Linked DNA regions of Bombyx mori. The protein of the gene in region 3 binds, or shares a complex with, the protein of the main gene of each other region. Links are inferred from orthologs where the notes say so. Each region holds a gene or a part of one and is shown on either strand. Other genes may lie near its edges.

The links. Proteins that work in one complex are often made in the same cells at the same time.
Region 1: ATP-dependent RNA helicase WM6 (region 3) and A-kinase anchor protein 17A share a complex: the UniProt entries of both Homo sapiens proteins name them as parts of the spliceosome. The link is inferred for Bombyx mori from reciprocal best matches to the Homo sapiens genes DDX39B and AKAP17A.
Region 2: ATP-dependent RNA helicase WM6 (region 3) and THO complex subunit 5 homolog share a complex: the UniProt entries of both Homo sapiens proteins name them as parts of the transcription/export (TREX) complex. The link is inferred for Bombyx mori from reciprocal best matches to the Homo sapiens genes DDX39B and THOC5.
Region 4: ATP-dependent RNA helicase WM6 (region 3) and THO complex subunit 3 share a complex: the UniProt entries of both Homo sapiens proteins name them as parts of the transcription/export (TREX) complex. The link is inferred for Bombyx mori from reciprocal best matches to the Homo sapiens genes DDX39B and THOC3.

Annotation. Positions count from the first base shown.
Region 1 is NC_085127.1:13,390,545-13,396,842, forward strand, and holds the start of A-kinase anchor protein 17A, read right to left. Parts: upstream 4,171-6,298; 5' UTR 3,715-4,170; coding exon 2,798-3,714; intron 1-2,797. UniProt on the Homo sapiens protein: Splice factor regulating alternative splice site selection for certain mRNA precursors. Mediates regulation of pre-mRNA splicing in a PKA-dependent manner.
Region 2 is NC_085114.1:10,648,884-10,655,278, forward strand, and holds the start of THO complex subunit 5 homolog, read right to left. Parts: upstream 4,171-6,395; 5' UTR 4,103-4,170; intron 4,084-4,102; exon of another isoform or gene 3,818-4,083; intron 3,441-3,817; exon of another isoform or gene 2,830-3,440; intron 2,750-2,829; exon of another isoform or gene 2,736-2,749; 5' UTR 2,692-2,735; coding exon 2,593-2,691; intron 2,218-2,592; coding exon 2,080-2,217; intron 1,402-2,079; coding exon 1,111-1,401; intron 598-1,110; coding exon 258-597; intron 1-257. UniProt on the Homo sapiens protein: Component of the THO subcomplex of the TREX complex which is thought to couple mRNA transcription, processing and nuclear export, and which specifically associates with spliced mRNA and not with unspliced pre-mRNA.
Region 3 is NC_085122.1:1,016,394-1,022,201, forward strand, and holds ATP-dependent RNA helicase WM6, read left to right. Parts: upstream 1-2,901; 5' UTR 2,902-3,293; coding exon 3,294-4,571; 3' UTR 4,572-4,721; downstream 4,722-5,808. UniProt on the Homo sapiens protein: Involved in nuclear export of spliced and unspliced mRNA. Component of the TREX complex which is thought to couple mRNA transcription, processing and nuclear export, and specifically associates with spliced mRNA and not with unspliced pre-mRNA.
Region 4 is NC_085132.1:2,064,775-2,071,126, reverse strand, and holds the start of THO complex subunit 3, read right to left. Parts: upstream 4,171-6,352; 5' UTR 4,075-4,170; coding exon 3,856-4,074; intron 3,711-3,855; coding exon 3,589-3,710; intron 3,234-3,588; coding exon 3,098-3,233; intron 1,895-3,097; coding exon 1,791-1,894; intron 1,002-1,790; coding exon 840-1,001; intron 146-839; coding exon 45-145; intron 1-44. UniProt on the Homo sapiens protein: Component of the THO subcomplex of the TREX complex which is thought to couple mRNA transcription, processing and nuclear export, and which specifically associates with spliced mRNA and not with unspliced pre-mRNA.

The DNA.
Region 1 (6,298 bases), on a different chromosome or scaffold from region 3:
GCAAAACTATGCTATCAGAGCAACCAACGATAAATCTGGCAGGCAACTGGTCTGGACCAGCTGATTTAGATAGATCAAGATTAAGAATTAACTTATGTATTTCGGCTTGGTCCAAGTAGATGTTGTTTAAGTGAGAAGTTGCGGTAAAATGCTCATCGGCTACTCTAGGTGTCAGATTAACAGCGATATCACAGTCAAGAAAAGTAGATTGGAAATAGTTAGAAAATGCACTGCAGACTCCCTTAGCCGAACTTGAGATCACATTGTTATACGAGACAGATCCTGGCATTGAATTACACTTAGACTTTGATTTAACATAAGACCAGAACTTTTTAGGATCATTTCCTATTGAAATTTCAAGAGAGTCAATATAATCATTGTAACAATTGGTTTCCAGTACTCTAACCCTATCCCGAAGCACATTAAAAGAGTTTAGATCAGATTTATTTCCATAGTTTGAATATTTACGTTTATATTTATATTTTTCTTTGATAGCTTTTTTAAGAGCAGCTGAATACCAGACTGGGTAATGATCAGAGCCAGTCATGCGAGATGGTACATATCTCTCTTTAAGGTCGTTAACTGTCTCATAAAAATAATCAGTACAGCCCTCCAAAGATCTTGACTGAAACTCAACACACCAGTCAATATTATTAAGCTCTCTATTAATTGACAAATAATCACCTTTATTGAATCGATAGTTAGTGCGCGGTGCAGTTCTTAGAGTTACAAGTTCAATACATTTAAACGTAATACCAAGAGCCTCATGATACGGATCAATCGGGACCATTGGATCAACACACTTACTCACCACCAATGATTCATTTGAGAAAACTAGATCCAGAATCCTATCATCCTTATTAGTTATCCCATTATACTGAGCAAAGTCGTGAATATGCATTTCATCCACAAGCAATAATTCATCACTACTACGAGCATTATAAGGTGTAAAGTAACCAAGATTAGACGGCAGCCACGTAATTCCGCTCAGATTAAAATCACCAACAAGTATGAATTTATCAAGTGAATTATCCAAAACAATGTTGGTGAGTTTCGTAAGATAATTAGTTAATTGTTCAGAGAAAGAAAACCTAGAACCCTGTTTGCATAAATATAATACACATATATGCAATTTAATAGTTTCACGTTTCAACTTAACGATGAGTGTAACCCACAAATCTTCAACCGATGAGTTAAATGACGGCTGCAAACTAACTTTTAAATCTTTACGAGTCGCAATCAAAACACCGCCACCCCGAGATTGACCCGTAAGGTCACTGTTCCTATCCCTACGCCAAACTGTATAATGTTCATTAAATAATTCGCCATCTAGGATACCATCAGTCAACCAAGTCTCAGTTAAAATAATCACATCATAAGAACATAATAGCAGGTTACGGCTAAACTCAAGAACTTTCGTTCGAAGTCCACGAACATTTTGGTAGTAGATATGAATACTATTCAGGACTGATTCATTGTCCATTGTAAGAAAATAGTTAATAACATAGTAAGTAAAATTAATATTACGCTGTGGTAATTTCTAGACATTAAATAGTAAAAGTGAAAATAGTAAATTAAATTAAATTGTAGGTAGTATAAAAATAGTCGAAGAATATAACAAGTACCAATAAACCCCTGACACACTAGATCAGCGTTAATAAGTAGTAGATATGCAATACATTCGTGAAAGCAAGACAAATATATGTCAGTAATGACAACCTCAAACAGACAAGCAACGAGATATGAGAACAATAGCGGCAAAAGGCGAGGCGCCGGCCAGTGAACAACAACATGTGTTGTAAACATTTGGACCACGATTATAATTAATAAGTGTACATAACCTATGTCCAGTGACACGTGAATTTGCAACAAAAAGTTACTATAGAAACTAATACAAAATACAAAAAGTAATAATAAGACACAAGCTAAGTCAATTTGTTTAAATCTGCCTCTGTATGTACTATAATAACCGGAGACGAGTCAGATCTTCGCACATGGATCTTACAGAACTTAACCCAAATGTACTTAAAATTCTTCTTTTTGGCCCATGTTTTCACTTTTGTGAGCAGTTGCTTTGAATCACGAGTCAGGTGGTCATTCACGAAGATACGATTAGAAACAGTAAAACCAATGTCCTGGGCATTAAAAGATTTTAGTGCACGAGCAGCGGCGACAAAATCTTCCTTTGTGTACCTATTGTGGAAGTTTAGTATGATCAGTTTGTCAGGCGATCCAAATGTAGGTACCCTCGTAACATGGTTGATGTCAGCCCTGGAAAAGGACACACCCAGCTTCTGGGAGATGTTCTCGACGATTGTAAAAAGGTTTTCGTTCTTCCTTACAGGAACGCCCTTGATCTCGACGTTATTAAGCCTAGCTCTCTGCTCCAAAGCATCGATCTTACCCTGCATTTCCGCATACATTTAATAAAAGTAAACATTTGATCAGACATTGTGCAGACACAATTGTCTATAAAATCCTCAAAACCAGCATTTAGTGATAGACAGATCACTGTATTGAAATGTAATAAAAAAATAATGTACAAGTGTAGAATGAAACCTTTGAGTAAAACAAAAAGCTCTCAACTGTTATGTGTAGCAAGCATTGTAGATACTATCAAGTGCACAGAATTTCAAAAAACTAAACAATATGTATCAAATATCCATCTTATATCCAATAAGTTATCACACAGTGGACTACATAATTTTTTTTTTTTTTTTTACCTAGTTACTATTTAGGCTATAAGTAATAAAATCCCAAATTATAAGACTCTTGTAGATGTATGTTTTAAACTTACCTTTCCTTTGCTTCTCTTTTAGCAGCTTTCAATTTTTCCGCTTGTTCTTCTTCCTCTTTGTGACTCTTTCGTGCTGCAAGTCTTTCTCTAACTATAGCCCTTCTCTTGATGGCTGCATCAGTCATGTGCTTTGTCTTATCAAAATCAACCCTGATGCTACACCACTCGGCAATGTCATCCTGCTTTCTAACTAATTTCTTGCCTCTCAATTCATCCATACATCTGACGAAACCGACATATTCATTAAACTGTACGTATCCTTCAAAATACACAGCTGCATCTTCTGTTGGATACATGATGCCTCTGATGGCTGATTTCATTTGAAGTCTAAATGGATCAGCAATAGGTATGTCCACTTGACGTACCCTACCAAACTTTTCAAAGACCTTTTTGAATAAGCTCTCAGAAGGCATCGCATCTTCATCCCGTTCATTTTTATGAACAAACCAACGTATTGGCAGGTTTGATATATGAATAGTGTCTGGTCTTTCTCCTGGCTTCATCTCATCCATATCGGACGCATCTCGAAAGAACGAGTCCCAAGCGTGACGAGAAGGGAAATCCGACTTCGCTTCACAAACTTTCACTCTTAAGGGCTCCGGGTAATCATTCAACTTCACCACACGTTCATCAAGTCTCATAATCACCATCTTTAGCATACTATAATTTTCTATTTCCGCATCAAATCTGATCACTTCCGAACTATGTTTCGACACTTTTAACAATGAAAAACTCTCAGGTTGGATCATTTTCCGCAGTTTTTCCATGAGCTCCCAATTGGATATAGTTTTGCCGTGTACCTTGTGAGAGGGAAGCTGGACAGAAATATTAAGCTTGGCATACGATTTTAAATACAAACGCTGTGGCAAGTAAAGCGCCACAGCGTCTGAAGTGTCCCTGCATACTTGAATATTCATGACTAACGAACGCTAATCTATGAAATAAAAACTAATACAATTTTATAAATAAAGCTAATCTAACAATAACATGAATGTTAAAAATATTAAACAGTGAAATAATTTTATAATGTTAATGAATACAAACAAATTAAAAATGAAAAATGACCGAAACCAAATTTTTTGTGAGCCATTGTTTTCCGCCGATGGAGCATCGTTTCGAAGCTAAGCTAAATTATGCCAGTTCCGCGATAATTAAACTTAATTCAAGAGTTTCATTATTTCATATATCACTTTGAATTTAAAGATATATTTTTAGTCACTAAGTTAACATTTGTCAATGATCTTAATTTTTAACACGGTTTGTATTGTAGTATTGGTATTCAAACGAGCCAAGCAAGAAGACAGTAAGACAGGTAGACAGGCAATGAAGTAGGAAACCTATGTAGACAGGTGACCTGGATAATGACATTTGACAAATTTGTCATAATTTTTTATCGTTTGATTCCTTAATGCGATAGGCATGACGATTATACGTCATACAGCCAAAGTTAATTGCGATAATAATTGGGAATTTTTAACTGATCGAGGTGGTACCTCTTTATTCTTTTACTATCGAAATCAGCCTTTTGCAATGCCATTATTGCCAATATTGAGCATAGATAATACACAAAGTACTGAGTTTATTAAATCAATCAATTATTATTCATATATCATATTGAGTTTATGAAATCTTTCAATTATTATTCATATATAATACTAGCGACCCACCCTCGCTTCGCTTCGGAAGCATTAAATTTTATTATTGATAGGTGAGTCCCGCCATGTTGCGCGCGGTACGACAATAACTGCGGGTGACGCCGCGGGGCGAAGCTAGTCTAAAAAAATAGCCTAAGTTACTCCTTATATCATCAGCTACCTATTAGTGAAAGCCTCATCAAAATCGGTCCAGCCGCTCCAGAGATTAGCCGAAATAAACAGGCAGACAGACAAAAATTGTAAAAAATGTTATTTTGGTGTATGTACCGTATATATATTCATATGCATGTAGTAAAAAGCGGTTATTTCAATATTACAAACTCTCTCTCTCTTCCCAGCTATTTATCCCACATGGTGGTGGGGTCAGCTTTCCTGACTTTACTCCTCCACTTCGCTCTGTCTTCGACATCCTCGTCAGCAGCATTGCATTCTCTCTTGTCCTTCAGCACTACGTCCCTCCACCTTGTCTTGGGTCTGCCTCTAGGTCTCCGACCGGGGAGGTCGAGCAGTAGCGCCAAATTTCCGACGTAGTCAGGTGGCTTCCTTTTCACGTGACCATACCATCTCAGCCTACTCTCCTGCATCTTGTCGGCGATGTCCCGTACACCTAGACTTCCACGCACGTACTCGTTGCGGATTTTATCGAGCCTAGTCACGCCGCACATCCACCTCAGCATTTTCATTTCAGCAACTTGAATGGTATGTACGTTCCTTTTGGTTGCCGCCCATGTTTCGCTGCCATACATAAGAACAGGCCTGTTCTTATGTATGGGGCGGAATTTCAGGCTACAATTTGGGACTAACTTCATTAGCCGAGCCCGTCCATGACTCGGTAGCCCTAGTATACTGTTCGCAGATGTAGGGCGATATTTCTGCGCGTCGTTTCGCGGCGACGCCCTATCCGTTATCCCAAACGTATTATGTAACCTGTCCATTTGCTTACTAAAATTTGGCGAGTTTTTTGGGTTTATTAAAAGGTACCGATTGCCATCTGACATACCAAAACCTACCCCGCTTGAAGTAGGGAAACCCCCAGATAGGTGATGTGTCCGGGTACAGTTATTTCCTCCTGTACATAGTGGTTGTCTGGTTATCCCGCCAGAGTTTCGGTCGCCAGAGCCTCGTCCGTTGGTCAGCAGGGTGTACCACGAGCAGGTGAGGTTGACATTGTAGATGGTAAAGATGTTAGTTCCATGCCCCTTACAACCCCTTCAATATTACAAACAGACACTCCAATTTTATTTATATGTACCTATAGATATATACTCAGAATGAAAAGAATTTGATGTATCTAAAATTATAATCAATCAAGATGAAACGGGAGACGAAATGGAATTAAATGAGATGAAATGAAATAGAATTATGTCCAAAATGGTGAAAATTTACTTTTTTATGATTGAGGGGTTTTTTGTGGCCTGGAGGCCTTTCCAGTTTCACCAAGGCAGGTGGGCGAGCAAGGGCTCAGCCAGGAGTGGTGGGATTTGCTAACAGCTACCCGAGCACCTCCAGAGGAGACCTAACACCTTAAGAGAAGCTGCTTCGCTAATGAATATACATACCGGATCGTTATCGCGACTTCCTGTAAAGATCCGGCGAGAAACTAAGCGGGCTGATGTTTAGAATAGGTTGCACGTCGAACTCTTTGCTGAGTTCGACGAGCACGGTTACCGGGGTCCCTAAGCCTGTTCTTAGTGCTAGAGCTAATGGCGTCTCATGCAATGTTTATGGGATTTGATGAATCCGTAAGGACGTGGAAAATTTACTGAAACTTCACTGGACTTCTTGGAAGGCTTAGCGACTTTATTTAATTTTCCCACACACCCTGAGCTATCGTAAATGCCTGGTT
Region 2 (6,395 bases), on a different chromosome or scaffold from region 3:
CCTATTGAAAAGATCCGGCGAGAAACTCAGTGGGCTGTGTCTTAGGGTTAATTTGCTCCGTAAGCTCTTTGTCGCAAGCGACGGGTTTGACGAGAACGATGACCGATGCATGGGGTACCTAACTGCACCGATAGTGGATCGGGGGATCCGAAATGGCGTGTTTAGGACGACTGTTTACCCTTTGCTCTGCTGAATTGGGTATGTAAATCTATGAACTTTAAGATGCAATGAATATTTTGAGCTTTGAAATTGCTTACCAACACTAATAACTTTGCTTCCTAAAATATCAGAATATGCGTTTGCATTTTTAAATAGTAGGAATAGTGATGCTGGAAGCAAGCTTGCGGCCCTGGCTTCATCACGTTTTTCATCCAAGCGTAGAGCAAGACATTCTTGCAAAGGTTTAGTGGATTTCAAGACATCTTTCAGATGTGGAGCCAATGCATCAAGTCTAGAACGTGCAGCAGCAATGGCAGCTGCTACTCGTTCCTTGGAAGATATGAGTTCATTACAGGCTTCAGATAATTCACGACGTTGACGTAACTCCCACTCCAGTCGGGCTAATTGTAATTGATGTTCATCAGCCTTTGTGACCTCCTAAAATTTTACACATTGTCATATTGTTGAATTTGTCAGTACCATTACTGCAACAACTCATCTGATCAGTATCAAAGTTACAAGTACTCAGTATCAAGTGTCTGAGATATGTGTGGAATATGTCATATGTATATTTGTAAGGGGAAACAATGTGAATCATATGACTGGCACCCTCACCAGGACAGATTAAAAGCAGTCATACTTCTGTCATGCCTAACTTTCTACTAACCGTTATGATGCTACTCAGCACGATAGCGCTTTAATGTATAAAATGACAATTGGGATGCAATGCTATCGCCCAAAAACTTAGGTAAGCTCTTGGTCCTGAGTGCATGTATATGTTTTGAACTGTTTATATTATTGCAATTCAAGTTTGGCTTCAATATTTAAAAGAAATTCAGGATTTTAGCTACCTACAGCATTTTAGGGACAAAACTAAAAAAATATTCAGAGCTGAAACGGTTAAAATATGTACATTCAGATATCAGTTACACACTGTGAAAACATACTTACTGATCTAATAATATCAGGAGGTGCATTTTTATAGAATTCTTCAAGAGGCACAAGATCTATTTCTTCATCTTTAGATTTGAATTGTAAACATTTAGTTACTTCTTTGTTTAAGTGATCTGCTTCGTAAAGTAAATTTTGTAACAGTAAATGTGTGGAATCAACTCTCTGTTTCTCTTTATGGAGCGCATCACGACCAGCTCTAGTTCGTACTTTCTCCAGGCGATTTAATTTCTTTAACGCAACCAGCAGTAATGAAGCTTCCACTCTTTTTGCATTTATCTTTTCTTTAGCCTGTAATTATAACTTTTGCCTTAATTGCATTGTTCCATATTTTATATTATTTAACATTAATTACAATTCATAATATAATCTAATCATGTCCATTTTTTTTTTTTATTTGTCGAGCCGGGTGCCGAACCTCCTACGAGGTCCCCGCGTCTAGGGGGGTGTGGGACTTTACGATCTGGTAGTCAACACTACAACCAGACACGCGACGCCACCCTGAAGACGCCGGATCGACGAGTCCTCAATGCGACAGTCGACGACAACGAAGCCGGTCTCCGCGGTACGACAGCCCTGCCAGGCCGCCCGGGCGATGCCGCTGGTGTTCCGGGATACCCAGCTGGACCAGAACCAGCCTGCCGGGTCAGAACGCGATACTCCTGCAGACGACGAAGGCCACCCATACACAGGAAAGATGTCCCTCCCCCGGGTAACGACCAAAGTGTCGTCCGTGTAACAAGCTACGCTCAGACCCGGGAGAGGAGTGCTAAGGGCACCCCGCAGGACCCAGTTCGTAGCCGACATTCCACAAGAGAGGGCCAAGGACCGACCCCTGTGGGACACCACGCTCGACGGGAAAATGGAGCACCGCCCCACAGTGCCCGGTGCACACGGCCATCCTGTTCTCGAGGTAGGACCCGACTCTTATTATGTCCTGCATTAACTATTAATTGAAAAGTGGCATACCTCCAATGTTTCTTTAGTTTTTAACTCTGCAATCTCTTTAAAAAGTTGCCTTATGTCTTGGCATGTTTTATTGAAAAAGGCAGCATCCTTATCAGCTGGACGCAGATGAGCTTCAGCTTCTTCAAATTCAACAACACGCTGGAACAATCCATTTAAAACACATTTTGTAATGAATGAAGAATCTTGAAAAATAAAGACAATTTTTTTGGTGTACTGGGATCTTGTTCAGTTTACAACTTCTCTAAGTGTTAATATTAAACTTGTTTTGAAGATCACAAGATATTTCACGAACAGGATTCACTTAATTTTTATTTTTGTTAATAATAAGTTAAAACTGAAACAAAAACTTCAACAGAAAATATAAAAGCAACAGCTTGCTAAACCAGGAGCCACAAATATAAATTCTCATTTATTAGTAGAACTATGTACTTAAATTTACATTATTATACATATTTATGGTACAGAATAATGAGTCTTGAGGTTATGTTACATCTTATATATTTTGGTCAATACCTTGTATACATCAACGGGAACTGGCTTTGTTCCGTCATTTGATGTACTTGTATTTAATTTGCGCCGTTTCTTAACAGCCGTTACTTCTTCTTTTCCCATGTTTAGTTTTATTCAAGTTTATCAGATTTCATCCAAGTCTGGAACTTTAAAAAAATCACTAATTTAAACAGACAATTACAACCTTACTGCCTATTCACTCTATTCACTGGATTTGTTTTTATATATTAAAGCTTTTACTAGCATCGTTCACGGTAATGTTTGAATTATTTTTCTTTTAATGTTAGCCTTTAATTTGAAAGGTAGTCTTTAACTATGATTTTTTTTAAATTATACTTCATTATTGTACCTACTCAGCAATAGACATGCGTAGTTCCGGACCTAAATAGTTCCTGGAACTATGTCCTCATATGGAACTATATCATTCAATCCGAGTTGTCAAAATTAACATGTTCAGACAGTTCCATTTCCATTCCAAGTGTACTGTTATGCAGGAACTACGAACGCGTTGAACATGACGGACATGCGGACATGATTAGAGCATAGGTACCGCGCGGCGCGGAGGCGTGGCGCGGCGAGTCCACCCGAACGAGTCTCGAACCGACACGAGTCCACGTAAAGAGATAAGGCGACATATGGCACGAATACGAGAGAGTGAGATGGAGCGAGTGCATGAAACTGCGTGTGGAGCTCTTTCATATTACATTTTTATTAATATTGAAGTTATGCTCTACGACCTACGTGTTACAGTCGATAGTTGAATAAATTAAAATGTTTTGCTATGGATTTTGACCTTGACCATGCATCATTCCTACGAGCACTTAACCTTAAGTGTTTGTAGACCATTTCTTAGAAAATCATAATTCAAAATTCGAGAATTTTAAAACATTCACCACTTTCGCTATTCGGTATCTCGGTTATGGGAAAAAGGTTGTAAGGCTACAACGAGCTCAATTTACGTTGTATATCAGAATAACGTGGTATTTTAATTAACAACTGATAGGTTATAGTTTTCGGTGCATCGTACAATACCTACATTGAAAAATAATGAAAGTAGTAGAGTAGTTGAAATTATGACAAAGTAATTACAGTACATTAATAAATTATGCAACCAGCTGTAACAATGAACCTAAAACTAAAAACCTTACAAAATAATATTACAATAATAATTGCCATAAGCGGCAATCTATTTTTATATAGTGCTTTTAAAAAATTGTATTTTTAATACCTTTTTTGAAAAATATTGTGTAATTAATAATAACTTAATACGTGATTCGCTACACTACAAACAGTTACTAGACTTAACATGTCCGCGGAACTAAACAGCTTCAAACAGCTACTAGACTTAATATGTCCGCGGAACTAAACAGCTACAAACTACAAACAGCTACTAGACTTAACATGTTCGTGAAACTAAACAGTTCCGCGAACATGTTTACTGGAACTAGTTCCGACACTCAAAAGAACGATGTCATGTTCAATCCAGTTCCGAACATGATTAGCGCACGTCTACTCAGCAATAGCAACTCTCCATAAATGTCAGTAAATGTCAGTTAAGCATCCTCAAATATTACCTATGTGATAATCTATGTGTGCATCTCTCAGCTCATAGATTTCGACTTTTTGGCGGGAATGCGAGGAGTGAAGCTGTGTGATATGTTTTATTTTGTCTATTTGGTATTTCTTCAGGTTTGAATGTATGATAATGGTGGTTTATTACCTGTTTAGTATTTGCGAAAGGGCACAAATGTGGGAAAATGAAACAAAGTCGCTAGACGTAACTCCTCGGGATCCTCCAAAAAGTCCACTGAAAGAATCTCAGTAAATGACCACCATTTTACTGAGATCATAAATATTTCATCCCATATCATCTCATTTCATTTAATTTCATCCCAGTTGATTAGTTATCTAGTTTATTTTATATAAAATGACTATGATCCCTTTGCCTCTTTAAGTACACAAAACAAAGGACATTTGTTTTTGCTTTCCACCTTGAGAAGGTCAAAAATATCACTGCTGTAATCGCGCCAGCAACCAAATCCTTATATTTTGCCAAACCCGGCTTGTAAGGTGCAATTTTGTTAAATAAGGATATCGCTTAATTTAAGGTTTGTAATTTATTATTATTATGATGTGTATGGATTACAAAAAAGTGGAGTAGTGCAAAAATTTTCAATACAAAAAAATTAGATGCCGATCATTAGCCATCCAATTTTACGTAAATTTCATTGTATCCGTTGAAAATGACTAATTCTTAAACCCCGTGAGCGCAATGAATTTGTAATAAACATTTTAAATCAAAAAATATTTTAAAGTAGGAATTATGATTGTACAACCTATGTTTGACCTTGCCGGCGCATCTCATTCGATTAGCGTTAGCAATAGAAGTAAAAGTAATAGAATTAATCCTTTAATACCCTCAATCGATACAATAAATCTTTTTGCAGTATTCAAGGTAAGTCTCGTGACTAGGCTGTGTGCTTTGGAAATCAGAAGTAGTAATAAGTTGAAATAATGGGGTGTTTTATTAAGCAAATAAGAGTGTCAAGATCCTAAATGGGAAATTGGTGGTTGTATTTTAGGTCTCGGTGGTTCTATGTCTAAGATTTTAAAGGTTGCGTAAATTGCTGGATGTGGGCTATGTAAGACCAGTCATTGTGGTAAACCTTGCTTATATACAGCAGTAAATTTCTGTGGGCTGATGATCCTGAGGTCACTGGGTTTAAATCATACTTTCAATTTAATGACTTGTCCCATACATTTCTATCAACAGATGAACAAAAAAGATATCTGAAAAAATTGAAACTAAATTGCCAAATCTAAAATTCACATATACTAAGCATTATATAGAAATACAATAAAATAGTAATTTTGTATTGATTTAACCTTTAGGATCTATTAAAAATTAGTTTTTTGAGATTGAGATTGCAAGTTTTTTTCTGAACTAAATGAAAATTCAAAATTTCCATCAATTTTACACATCTTTTATTTTTGTAAATTGGACAAAGTCATTTGTCCTTTTATCAAGATAGATATACCGGTATACTTTAAGTGTCTTAACCATGTTGATGGGGCATGATGACTTCTAAACTACTGCCAGTGCTCTCCAAATAAAATGAAAAATTTTTTTTTTTCTAGAAAGTCTAGTTCAGTATTAAAAATGGTAATAAAATCAATCAAGGCTCGTCAAATCTTTGACTCTCGTGGCAACCCTACTGTGGAAGTTGATCTGGTAAGTTTTTTGTTACAAATTATCAACAACTAAATTACTGAAATTCTTTGAAAAATGTAAAGTACCTTTTAATTCTGTGAACAGGTAACAGAGCTTGGCTTGTTCCGGGCAGCTGTACCCTCTGGTGCATCCACTGGTGTTCATGAAGCTCTTGAACTAAGAGATAACATCAAGAGTGAATATCATGGCAAGGGAGTTTTGACCGCAATCAAAAATATCAATGAACTCATTGCTCCTGAACTTACAAAAGCCAACCTCGAAGTAACCCAACAGAGAGAGGTAATTATTTTTAAATCTCAAACAAGAGTAGATATTTCGAAAGGACTCAAAAAAAACTTGAGTGTGGTATTAACATTCAATTGAAGTGGAATTAATATTGATAGGATTTTCATATTAACAAGAAATGTATTTAATAGTTTAAAAATAATATTAAATATATTTAAAAAAGTATATGTCAGCTATGTAAACCTTTTAAATTAACAGATTGATGAACTCATGCTTAAGTTGGATGGCACTGAGAACAAATCCAAACTGGGTGCTAATGCTATCCTTGGAGTTTCCCTAGCTGTTGCTA
Region 3 (5,808 bases):
GAAAAGGCAAAGGGGGGAAAGTGAAGTGTTTAGTGCGGAGCACATCTCTCCCATCACCCTCCCCCTCGGGACGCCGGACTGGCGGTCGTCGGCGCCACGACCACCAGCCCTCTCGGTCGGCAGGCTGTCCGAAACCCGCCTAGATGGCGCCGGTAAGAATGGTCTATCCTACAGAATACCCCGCTGCGTCAGAACCAGCGTTGGTTGAGGATAGCCGGCCTTCCATCACCCGGATGCTCATGCGTAAAACGTGTGCAGAGCAGCTTGCACGTCGTCTTCTTAGGCCCCCTTCACCGGTCCCCAGGTCGACATGTCAGGGAGACCCGAAACACTTAGAGGGCCAGGGCTTGGGCGAGATCCGCCTCCCTGGACCCCGCTTGACGGCGGCGGGCCTGTGCATCTCTCACGCGCCTCGCCGCCTCCTTTTGCGAGATGGTGCACTCGCAGAAGTCGAGCATCGCCTTCCACGACTCGTCGTCACCGAGAATCGATGCCAGAACACTCGGCAACGACAAGTCGTTTCCTATTTTTGCGACGAGGACACGCCGCCACCCCCTCCCATGCGGGGCAGGCGACGAGTGTATGCTCTGCCGTGTCCAAGCCGCAACCACAATGGTGGCACTCTGCCGTCGGCTCGGCTCCGATCCGGTGCAGGATCTCACCGAAGCAACCATGCCCAGTGAGTACCTGCGTGAGCCGGAAAGTGAGGCGTCCTCTGTCACGATTCACCCAATTCACAAGAACCGGGCGAATCGCCTCGACGGTCCTACGACCAGCCGAAGGATCGGCCAGCCGCCTGGACCATGACTCCAGCACTGACCGCCGAGATTGGGCCCTCCACACTCTGATCACACTGAGGCTGGGACGCGCCACGCCCCGGGCACGAAGGTTAGCCCACCACTGATAGTCAGCGGCGGGCGCCTCCGCCTCCAGGACCTAAGGCGGCGTCCCAGCCAGTACACACGCCGCCTCGAAAGAGATGGTGCGATAACCACGGATGATCCTGACTGCGATGGTGCGTTGCGGCCGTTGCAGCAACTTCGCTACCCCCACGGCCAGTGACTGGCCCCACACGGGCGCCTCGTATAAGGCGCGTCACCTGGTCATGCCCCCCGATGTTGTAAAGAAGCCGGCTTAACGTGCCAGCCACCCCCAACAAACGAGGGACCAGATTCTGAAAGTGAACACGGAAGGTCCAACGACTGTCCAGAATGAGGCCGAGGTACTTCAACTGCACCCCGACCCGATACGGATGCCTCCAACCACGATATGGGCATCGATAGGTGGCACTCTCCGCGGCCTGTGGAACCACATGGCCTCGGATTTACTGAGTGTCACGTCGAGGCCCGATTTCCTGATTTTACCGACGACATGCGCCACCCGAGCGGTGGCAAGACGAGCAAACTCAGCAAAACTCCTGTGTCCCATTATTTTATTCTATCATCAATAGTTTTCGTAGGGCACGCGACGTAAAGAATATTTTAGGTAATTTTTTTTACACCTTGGGTTAAATTATTGGAGTTTTAGTAAGGATACCCAATTTTTTTTTAAAAAAGGTTATAGTCTACGTCACTCGGGAATAGTGAAGCTTCCAAACAGTGAAAGAATTTTTCCAATCGGCTTAGTAGTTTCGGAGCCTATTTAATACAAACTAACAAAACTTTCCTCTTTATAATATTAGTACAGATATTAATTATTACAAATAATAAAAACGCTGACTTAGGTGGCGGTTTTTATTTGAACCAGTTCTAAATTATAAACTAAAATTCTATGAAAAATTACCCATATTTATCTATAATACGAAATGATATTAATTTGTTTTTCGTAGTTTCCTTCCTTCTTGCGTCGATAATCCTCAGTGCTGAGGGTCGCGGCCTCCTCTAATAACTTTCTCCTGCATCATCTTGCGCCATTCCTGCCTGTCCTCGGCTGTATGGATAGCAACGTGGACTGAAGTTTTGAGAGTGGAGCGTATTTGGTCCGACCAGCGCATTGGATTTCTGCCTCTGTGCCCTCTCCCGCATACCTTGCCTGTTACCAGCAACTTTTCCAGATTCTCACCTCTCTTTCTGGCGATATGTCCAAAGATCTCTAAACTCCTCCGCGCGCATGTAGTGCGGAGGCGCATTGGAATCTTGAGCTCGGTAAGAATGGATTCGTTGGTTCTGTGTTCTGTCCAACGAATCCCGAGCATTTTCCTCCAGCACCACATCTCAAACGCGTCGATGCGTTGGCGGTCGGCTTTCTTGAGGGTCCAAGTCTCTGCGCCGTAGAAAAAAATGCCACCCAAGCACAGTCCATTTGGAACATAGCCCTCTTTGCCATACTGATTCGCCTTCTGAGGTCCTTTTCGGAGGTTCCATTACTAGCTATGACGGAGCCCAGATAAATGAAATCCTCTACGTCTTCCAGGTTTAGCTTATTCGTAGTTTAATAAGTTATTATTGTTAGTAGTATTATTTACTAGTCGAAATATAAATTTTTAATTATCTTATGATGAGAATCTTATATTAATGAGAAAGATATTCAACAAAAATAGTTTCGTTCTAATAAATTAGCATAGTAATAGTACAGTGAACTAGCAATTTATTTTGGTAATTCTGAATTTAAACAAACATATTGATGAGAAGAATTCATTTTTACTTTGCAAATTTGTAAATACACGCTCTGTAGCAATGTACGGACATATAATAATATGAAGAAACAATAATAGCATCTACAAATATATATGTACTACGTGGTACTACATTTAATAAAATTAATACAACATTTATTAATTAAATTAATGAAATTGTGGTTTTAAAGTTTTAGGGGTGTATAAAAAATGGGGGGCGCTGAAAAATAATTGATATTCAAAGGGGGCGGTAAAAGAAATAAGTTTGATAATCACTGCTCTAAGTATTTCATTTTTAAATACTCATAAAATGGGTCATTTCAAAAAATAATATGACATGAAAAAAATCATATAAAAGACATATTATTCACGTGCTCACGTGAAAATAAAAACTATGATTGCATTATAGCTGTTCGCCTGTGTTCTTCTTTTTACTTTACACAAATAAAATTTCAAATTAATCAAAAATCAAATTGCAAATTTAATTCTCGTAAACTGTTGAGTGGCGAAAAAGCCAAGTGGCACGTCATATTTAACTGTCAAACATAACAAAAAAAGTTTGGATTGACGCCAAAAAAGCCGAAGCCGCCATTATTGTGAAATCGTATTGTAAAAATAAATTTCACGTGCTCACAGTGAGTACGATACAGTAAACAAGCTAATTAAACTAAAGTAAATCATGGCTGACAACGACGATCTTCTCGACTACGAAGATGAAGAACAAGCAGATCAACAGACTGCTGACGGGTCTACCGAAGTGGCGCCAAAGAAGGAGGTTAAAGGATCCTACGTATCCATCCACAGTTCTGGTTTTAGAGACTTCTTACTTAAGCCAGAGATACTCCGCGCTATTGTTGATTGCGGTTTTGAGCATCCTTCCGAAGTTCAACACGAATGCATTCCGCAAGCCGTCCTCGGTATGGACATACTTTGCCAAGCCAAGTCCGGTATGGGTAAGACAGCCGTGTTTGTTTTGGCAACATTGCAGCAGCTGGAACCCTCCGAGAGCCACGTTTACGTGCTTGTAATGTGCCACACCAGAGAGTTGGCTTTCCAAATAAGTAAGGAGTACGAGCGTTTCTCGAAATATATGTCAGGAGTCAGAGTATCAGTATTCTTTGGTGGTATGCCAATTCAGAAAGACGAGGAAGTCCTTAAGACAGCATGTCCTCACATTGTAGTGGGAACTCCCGGTAGAATTTTGGCATTAGTAAACAGTAAGAAACTTAATTTGAAACATTTAAAACACTTCATCCTTGATGAGTGTGATAAGATGCTGGAATCTCTAGACATGAGGCGAGATGTGCAGGAGATATTCCGGAACACTCCTCACGGGAAACAGGTGATGATGTTCTCAGCCACATTGAGTAAAGAAATCAGACCTGTGTGTAAGAAATTTATGCAAGACCCAATGGAAGTTTATGTAGATGATGAAGCCAAACTCAAGCTACATGGACTGCAGCAACATTATGTGAAACTAAAAGAAAATGAGAAGAATAAAAAACTCTTCGAACTACTTGATGTATTGGAGTTCAATCAGGTGGTTATTTTTGTGAAATCAGTACAGCGCTGCATAGCTCTGGCACAACTGCTCACCGACCAAAACTTCCCTGCCATTGGTATCCACAGAAATATGACCCAGGATGAGCGTCTCTCCCGCTATCAACAGTTCAAGGACTTCCAAAAAAGGATCCTGGTTGCAACAAATTTGTTTGGCCGGGGAATGGACATTGAAAGGGTAAATATTGTCTTCAACTATGACATGCCTGAAGATTCAGATACATATCTACATCGTGTCGCCCGCGCAGGAAGGTTTGGTACCAAAGGTCTGGCCATTACTATGATATCTGATGAAAATGATGCCAAGATCTTAAACCAAGTACAAGATCGTTTCGATGTGAACATTACAGAGCTGCCTGAAGAAATTGAGCTCTCTACCTACATCGAAGGACGATAGATTAAGTTTCATTCCCATACCTATTTACTGCTGTGGCTCATTTTGTTGGTAATTAGACTGGCCTGCTTTAACATTGATTTGTAATACATTGAGCCACATTTACTGTTTAACTAGGTTTATCTAATTAAAGTGACATTTCATATTGTGATATCTGAGTGTTTTATTTCTTTACCAACAATTTGGGAGCTTTCATCGTTATCAGTAAGACAGGCTGTGATATGTTTAACTTTAGAATGTAGACAGGAAATTGATATATTTATTTTGACCATGTTCATATTAATGTAACAAAATATCCATTTTGAACATATCATTTTGTCTTTATGACTTCATATTTTTATATTCTTAGACATGCAAAATTTACTGATATTGGATGTTAATACTTCACACAAATACTACTGGATGCATTTGGATAAAATTTCATGCCTAAAAACTTCAGAATAAAACAAGCCATAATTTAATTTAGAGTACCTACGTACAGTGTGAGAGGTGGGGTGCAAGTAGTTTCAAGAAATTACTGTTTTTAGAGCCTTGCTATAGGATAATTATACAGGAACGCGACCAGTTTTAACTGAAAAGTACAGAAGGCCCATGTCCAGTAACTGGTATCCACTACAAAATCAAAATCTATAATTGTCTGCCTACACTATATTGATTTAATTAAACTAAATTAGAAACACGTCCAAAGATTTTTTTATTATATAAACTGGCATTTTAATCTATGTTCACAAAAGACGAAAAAGCGATAATGCTAAAAACATACTTTATTTTAGCACCATTTGCATACAAAATAAATATTTAAATTAAGCTTATAGTCCTGCATTTAATTTTTTTTACTGGTGGTAGGACCTCTTGTGAGTCCGCGCGGGTAGATACCACCACCCTGCTTATTTCTGCCGTGAAGCAGTAATGCGTTTCGGTTTGAAGAGTGGAGCAGCCGTTGTAACTATACTTGAGACCTTAGAACTATATCTCAAGGTGGGTGGCGCATTTACGTTGTAGATGTCTATGGGCTTCAGTAACCACTTAACACCAGGTGGGCTGTGAGCTCGTCCACCCATCTAAGCAATATTTTTTTTTATTAAAATATTAATAAACACCAATTATCAATTTCATCTTTATTGCTCTTTATTCCTTAATGAATAACTGGAATTTTTCAATAGTATAAATAGGTACTAGTCAATGTAGCACAACTGCTATGCAATGATTTCCACCACAGCCTAAAGATTACTGTATGACT
Region 4 (6,352 bases), on a different chromosome or scaffold from region 3:
TGGATCGTTACCGCTGACCGTAAATGAATATAAAATAGACGAACCTGTCTCCGTGTCTCCGATGTCGATGATGTGGTCCTCGCTCGCGGACGCCAGCAGCCTGCCGTCGAAGCTAAACGACAGCGTCCGGACCGGCCACTCCAACCTGCAACATTGCACACCAGATGTTCTAATTGCACGGGTAGGTCCGCACGGGTAGGTACCACCACCCTGCCTATTTCTGCCGTGAAGCAGTAATGCGTTTCGGTTTGAAGGATGGGGCAGCTGATGTACTGTAAAGACAGGTCTTAGAACTCATGTCTCGAAGTGGGTAGCGACGTTTACATTGTAGATGTCTAAGAGGTCCGGTAAACACTCAACACCAGGTGGGCCGTCAGCTCGTCCACCCATTTAATTGCAACAATATTAAATTTCCCTGTGTGGCTGGTATTTGTAATTGAGAAAGAATGAAACACTGCCTTTTCCCAGGATAATTACTTTTAACACTCTCTTGTGAATACAGTATAATTGCACAGCAACGGTTGCTATGTTTCCATGTTAAATGAATAATGTATTCTGGGTACCATTTAGGTAATATCCACCGTTCATCCTTCATCGCAAATTTCCAACTTCCAAGTCCATTTCCAAGTCTATTTATTAGTATCAGAGGTCTCAGTATTTTACTCTTCATCTTCACGTAATATTAAAAATACAAGTTTGTCTGTTTGTTTGCATTTCGCAGACTGTTGGAGCTTGGTCAATAGCCCGCACTAGTGAAATTAGTTTACATTTTGGCATAATATTGTGTATATTTGATATCTTTTACAGCACATTCAATGAACTAGAACAAAAAAAAATACCTGGAGAAAACTCTTAAGCAGGCCAGTTCATTGACATCCCATAGTGAGACCAGAGCATCGGCTGACCCAGTAGCAAAGTATCTACCGGTTGGGTCGTGCTCGATGCAGATACACGTACCAGGATGCGCCTTCAGTACTGTCTGCAATTCTAGAGATGGATAACTGGAGAGAAATATTAATTTTCGTTATTTTACTAAACTCTCACCATACATACTTTGGCGACTCACTTATCCGCCACTACATTGACACATACCACTACTTGGGCAACCGCCTTATAATTTCGACCAAATTGCTGTCACTTGTGATTTTAGGCCACATCCGCTATTGTTGTTAAAACATGTTCGGAGATACTTCAGCACATCGGCAATTTTGGAAACTGCGGGCAGTACACATTCGATACGTCTGCTGTGCTGTGTCCTATTGTACACTTACATACTTATATTGAGTTAATTAAGTGCTAATCTACCTATATTGTATCGAAATCCTATGTTATATACAATATACATTAAGTGAATGACATAACAATATTAATTCTCTCTGTGTTACCTATCCTTTGTGTCAGTGCCTAGACAATCTAGTTAGTTGAAGCAGCTTAAATACTACTGCTCCTATGATACCACAAAATGGGAAATTCAAACCACAGCTATATAATTTGTCGTATTTCTTCTTTACGGATCATACCATTTCCACTTTCTACACTAGCGTTATTTTGTTGATTCTTCGAACTGTAACTTGCTGTTTACAGGTAGACATTTTTCAACTTGTCCCCTACACAAGATGGAATACTCCTTAGTTCTATCCTCCATGGCAAGAATGAAGTAAACTTCAGAATACATACAAACTTTAGTAGCAGCACTTACAACTAACAAATACAAAACTATTTTTATAGTAATGTTGAAACTATTTCCTTCTAGCAGTGAATTGATGAATTAAATGTTATAAAATACTAACGTCATAATATGTACGCATCCCAGTCCGTTGGTGAGGAAGAACAAGTCCGATGTATTATTCCATGATATCTCGTTCACTTCAAAGTTAAACTGTTCTTCTGTTACCTGCAATAAATAAATGTCTTAATGTATGCAGTAACTAAATCGATACAAATCACCCTATATTCATGTATTTGAAAAGACAGAATCTCTGGTATGTATCCTCTTTGAGTGGTATTTTTTGGTATTAATTGGTCAATCTTTAAAAGAGTGTCAATAAAAAAATTACAATTGGCTTAATAATACTATTTTATCTGGATGATACAAGAAATATGACCAAGTTAGACAGTGGATTTTAATGATTTTCATACATTTTATATATGTAGTTGAATTTTTATCAATGCTGTGAGAGATGATAGATATGTATGTACAGTCAAAATCTGTTATAACGACATCGAAGGGACTGCTCAAATTCAGTCGTAAAAACCGATAGTCGTAACAACCGGTGATGTTTAATGTGTATCGTGCAAGTACAAACAAATCGATAGGGAATTATTGGAAAAATATATTTATACAACAACGTACATTTTGTTTATTACACATAAGTACAATGCATATTAGTTTTCTGTGAGCATAAAATCTGTAATTTTGGTCTGTTTGGAACACTTCTGCTGTGCGTAGATATTTTGTAATTCACGTTGGATTTTAATTAACGTATCGTCATCGCTCTTTCCAAATGGTTGAAATTGTCGAGTGTGATAACCATATTCCTTTGCTAAGTCTTTGTTTGAAATTCCGCTCTCTAGCTTGGATATAATCCGCGATTTTTCTTCAATATTAATTTGTTTTCTTTTTCATTGCGACATTTTTAAAGTTTCACGAATAACTCCATAAAGTTTTGATGCGTCTTGTGTATAGATAAGTAACAAACTAACTGAAGAGATATGAAGAAGCGGGCTTTGACTCTACTGCATGCACGTGTTTTGTTTCTAAGAATTAGAAAAGACCCTACACTAAACTAAATCCTATTGTTTTCTTTCCTGATTTTAATATCCATTGAAGACAAATGTGGATACCTATTCAAATTGTTTACAATACAGCTTAGCTGGTCGTTCTAACAGATCTAATTCTCCGAAATATTAGTTAAATGTGGTCGTTATATGAGGTATGTCGTTATTAGCAATGTCGTATAAAGCAATGTTTTTAATAAGGCGGTCATATGGCATTCAGCCGGGACCTTTGTTCTAGGTTATTATAACCGGTATGTTGTTCTAAACGATGTCGCAGTAAACGGTTTTGACTGTATATAAGTAAAAATTCATTACTCACCACTTTATAAGTTTTTGTATCGATAAATGAAACTAAATCTTCCTTGTTCCCTACCGCAATGGTGTTGCCATTAGGAGACCATGCTATATTTATGTTTTCACCTTTGGTTGGGATTGTCGCCGCGCATTTGTGTGATCTATAAATTTTATTATCCTGTAGAACACCCTTAGATTTTCTATATTATAAGAAAAATTTAAAATTAATAGTTTAAATTAAGTCACCATGAAAAAGCCAACTGAACTCAATGGTATCAATCTTGTTCAGGAAGATATATTATGAAAATTTACAATAAAGGTATGCCACACTCTCTACCGCAAAATAGTATTAATGTTCATTTGGAACTAACACTTGTCTTTTATGAATACGATGGAATCTCAACTATTGTATTCATGTGTGTTGATATAAAAATTTCTAGATGTTTATAATTTTTTTTGGATATCTCATATTAATATTTATTTATAAAGGGCTAATAATTAACATCCCAGTATTACCGTGTATCCCATATCCTAACAGATTTGTCTCCGCTCGCTGTACTCAGGAGATCAGGATGTGACGCATGCCAGCAGAGTTGATCTACAGAGCCTGTGTGGCCTTTGAAAATAAAATCTTGACTCTGAAATTTACAAAATTTGTGTCTACTTATTTTTATTTCTAGGCTGCACAATTTTTAAGTTATTGCTTAAAAACAAAAAAAAATTTATTATAACCTCTCAAATTTAGTAGGGATTTTAAATATTTTGAAATAAACAATAACTCACCAATCTACTCCTCTCTAAATTAAATATTGCAACGCTTTTATCGAATGACCCAGAAGCCAGCTTTCTACCATCACAGGACCAGCCCACGGAATGTACTTTGGATGAATGTGCAATGTACTCGCGTGTAGTATTGTGTGACGCAAAATAACTACGTAATTCACTTAAATCTTCTATAGGAGCTTGCGAATGCTTTGAATCCTTCATAGCTTTGGTTATCATGTAAAATTTAACATTAAAATTTTAGTTGTTTTCCTGTTAGTGTTTTTTGTTTATTTGACGACTGTTCCTTTCATCGGACAAGCAAAGGAAATCTAACTCATACAGGCAAGTCTTTTGTAATAAATGCCAAAACCTCTAAGTTGTATGAAATTAAGACTATTTGGCAGCAGCACGAGAAGCAAAGTTGTAGGAATGATTTCATTATTTTATAGAAGTAAGATGAAACAGCGCTCATAGAAATGATGAGAATTTACTGAGATTTCCGGGATAACCGAAGCTACGTCCAGCGATTTTGTTATCCTTAATTTTAACCTTTTAGGGTCGTATTAATGCGGATCTGGGTTTGCTTTGGAAGCTGAGAGTAGACCTCTCGTTCTCGCAAAAAGTTTAGAATGCTTTCTAAAAATATCTTTGTAAAGTTCATTTCCATAAGTTTTAAGGTGAACATTACAAAAAGTTACAGAAAACCTTAAAAAATAATTTGTATGCCGAACTTTTACCTTATAATCTTGTACTGTACCTTAGTGTTCGACATTTATTTAATTAACGGGTTGTTACCAGGTTGAATGGATTAAGGCGTAGAGGTGAAGCTGAATACGTTCTGAGATTTAAAAATAAAGACAGTAGAAGAAATCAATTATTTATTCGTCATTCACTTGCCCATGTATTCTCGTCGCCACACCTTTATTTGGCTCATGAAGTAAGCCATTGGAGTCAACCAAACTGTGAGCATAAACGCGCAGTGCAACAAAGCCTCCTGAAAAAAAAGGGAAAAGCACAACGAAAATAGCATTAACAATAAATAATGTATCACATCACACAGCAAGCAGCACTTGGTAAGCCGTGGCTTGGCTCTGCCCCTGGCATTCCTGATGTCTATAACTCATAGACTATGAGCGACGGTAACTACTTACCATCAAGTGGGCCGTATGCACATCCACTTAGAAAGGCAATAAATAAACACAAATATCTGCACATAAGTGCGCAGAGAGTAATTTTTCTGAATTAGTAAACTGATAACCATCCGACATATTATTTTTTAAGTTTACTCATATATTTTTAGTATCAAGCGTTACTTTCTGTGTTAAGCCGCTTGTCAAAATGGAAGTTCGTTCGGTAGAGATCCTTTATACGCTCTTTAAATGGTCTGGGACCTCATCAATCACAATTTATATCTTTTAATGCGTCTGCCGTGTTAGTGGATGTTAGCTTACCTCAATCATCGTTACTTGAACAAGCTTCACTGCAATTCTTTTTTTTTTTCTTACCTATTCTAGTAACCTCAAGGGGTTATATTAGATTTGCCGAACGACTAACTGAGCTCACGAGATTTCTAATCTAGTGACGTTGCTAACACTAGCCCTAGCAAGAGCAGTGCTTCGTAGAATCTATCAGCGAATCGGAAACGCGACCCACTGCGAAGATCCGGCGAGAAACTCAGTGGGATGTGTCTGTGGGTTAAATTCTTATTGTTGACAGCCCTTTGAAATGTCAAACTCAATCTCTTTCCCAATAGTGGATAAAGATCATTCTTAGGCCGTTTTCCAATTACAGCACAAGAACGCATTATGCGTCATAATGCTCAACTAAGCTTCAGCATAATTCGGCATTGTGCGTCACTGAGTTGCATTATGCTCTGTAATTAACCATTACTTATTGGTAGTTTTCAAATTCCAACGGCCTTAAACTGCATTGTTCACATAGAAAAAAGTGTTGGAAATACAAAACATGATGTTATAAGAAACTTACGCCAAGATGGCATTTATTCCTCGGCGGAATGACAATTATCATTCCTGTTTGTGTCCAATTGCGTTTAAGCATTGTTTGTTGTGGTAGCGGTCTTCGTAGTAATTTTGTGAGATTCCGTAACATATTTGAAACGAGTCTCCTAATATGAAACCGTTAAACCAGTTTAAATAGGTACAGGGAGATTATCGACTTCACACTTCAGTTTGATTACATCAGTGTCAGATTAAGTGTATTATCTATGTTAAGGCAATTGTCAATTTCAATTATGGAATTTAATTTTTTTATTTGATGCCATGTTCCATGTAGTTGATTGTTAAACTCTTTTCATTTATTTCGTAGATGGGCGAACGAGTTAGCAGCCACCTGGTGTAAAGTAGATACCAGAGTCCATAGACATCACAAAGTGAATGTTAAAGCCCATCCTTCAAACAGAACGTTGCGTACTGTGTCTGTCCATCGGAGCGGAGTGAGAAAGTAATGCTGAGCGGAGTTTAGTACCTACGCGACGAGTCTGTTCACACTACGGGCG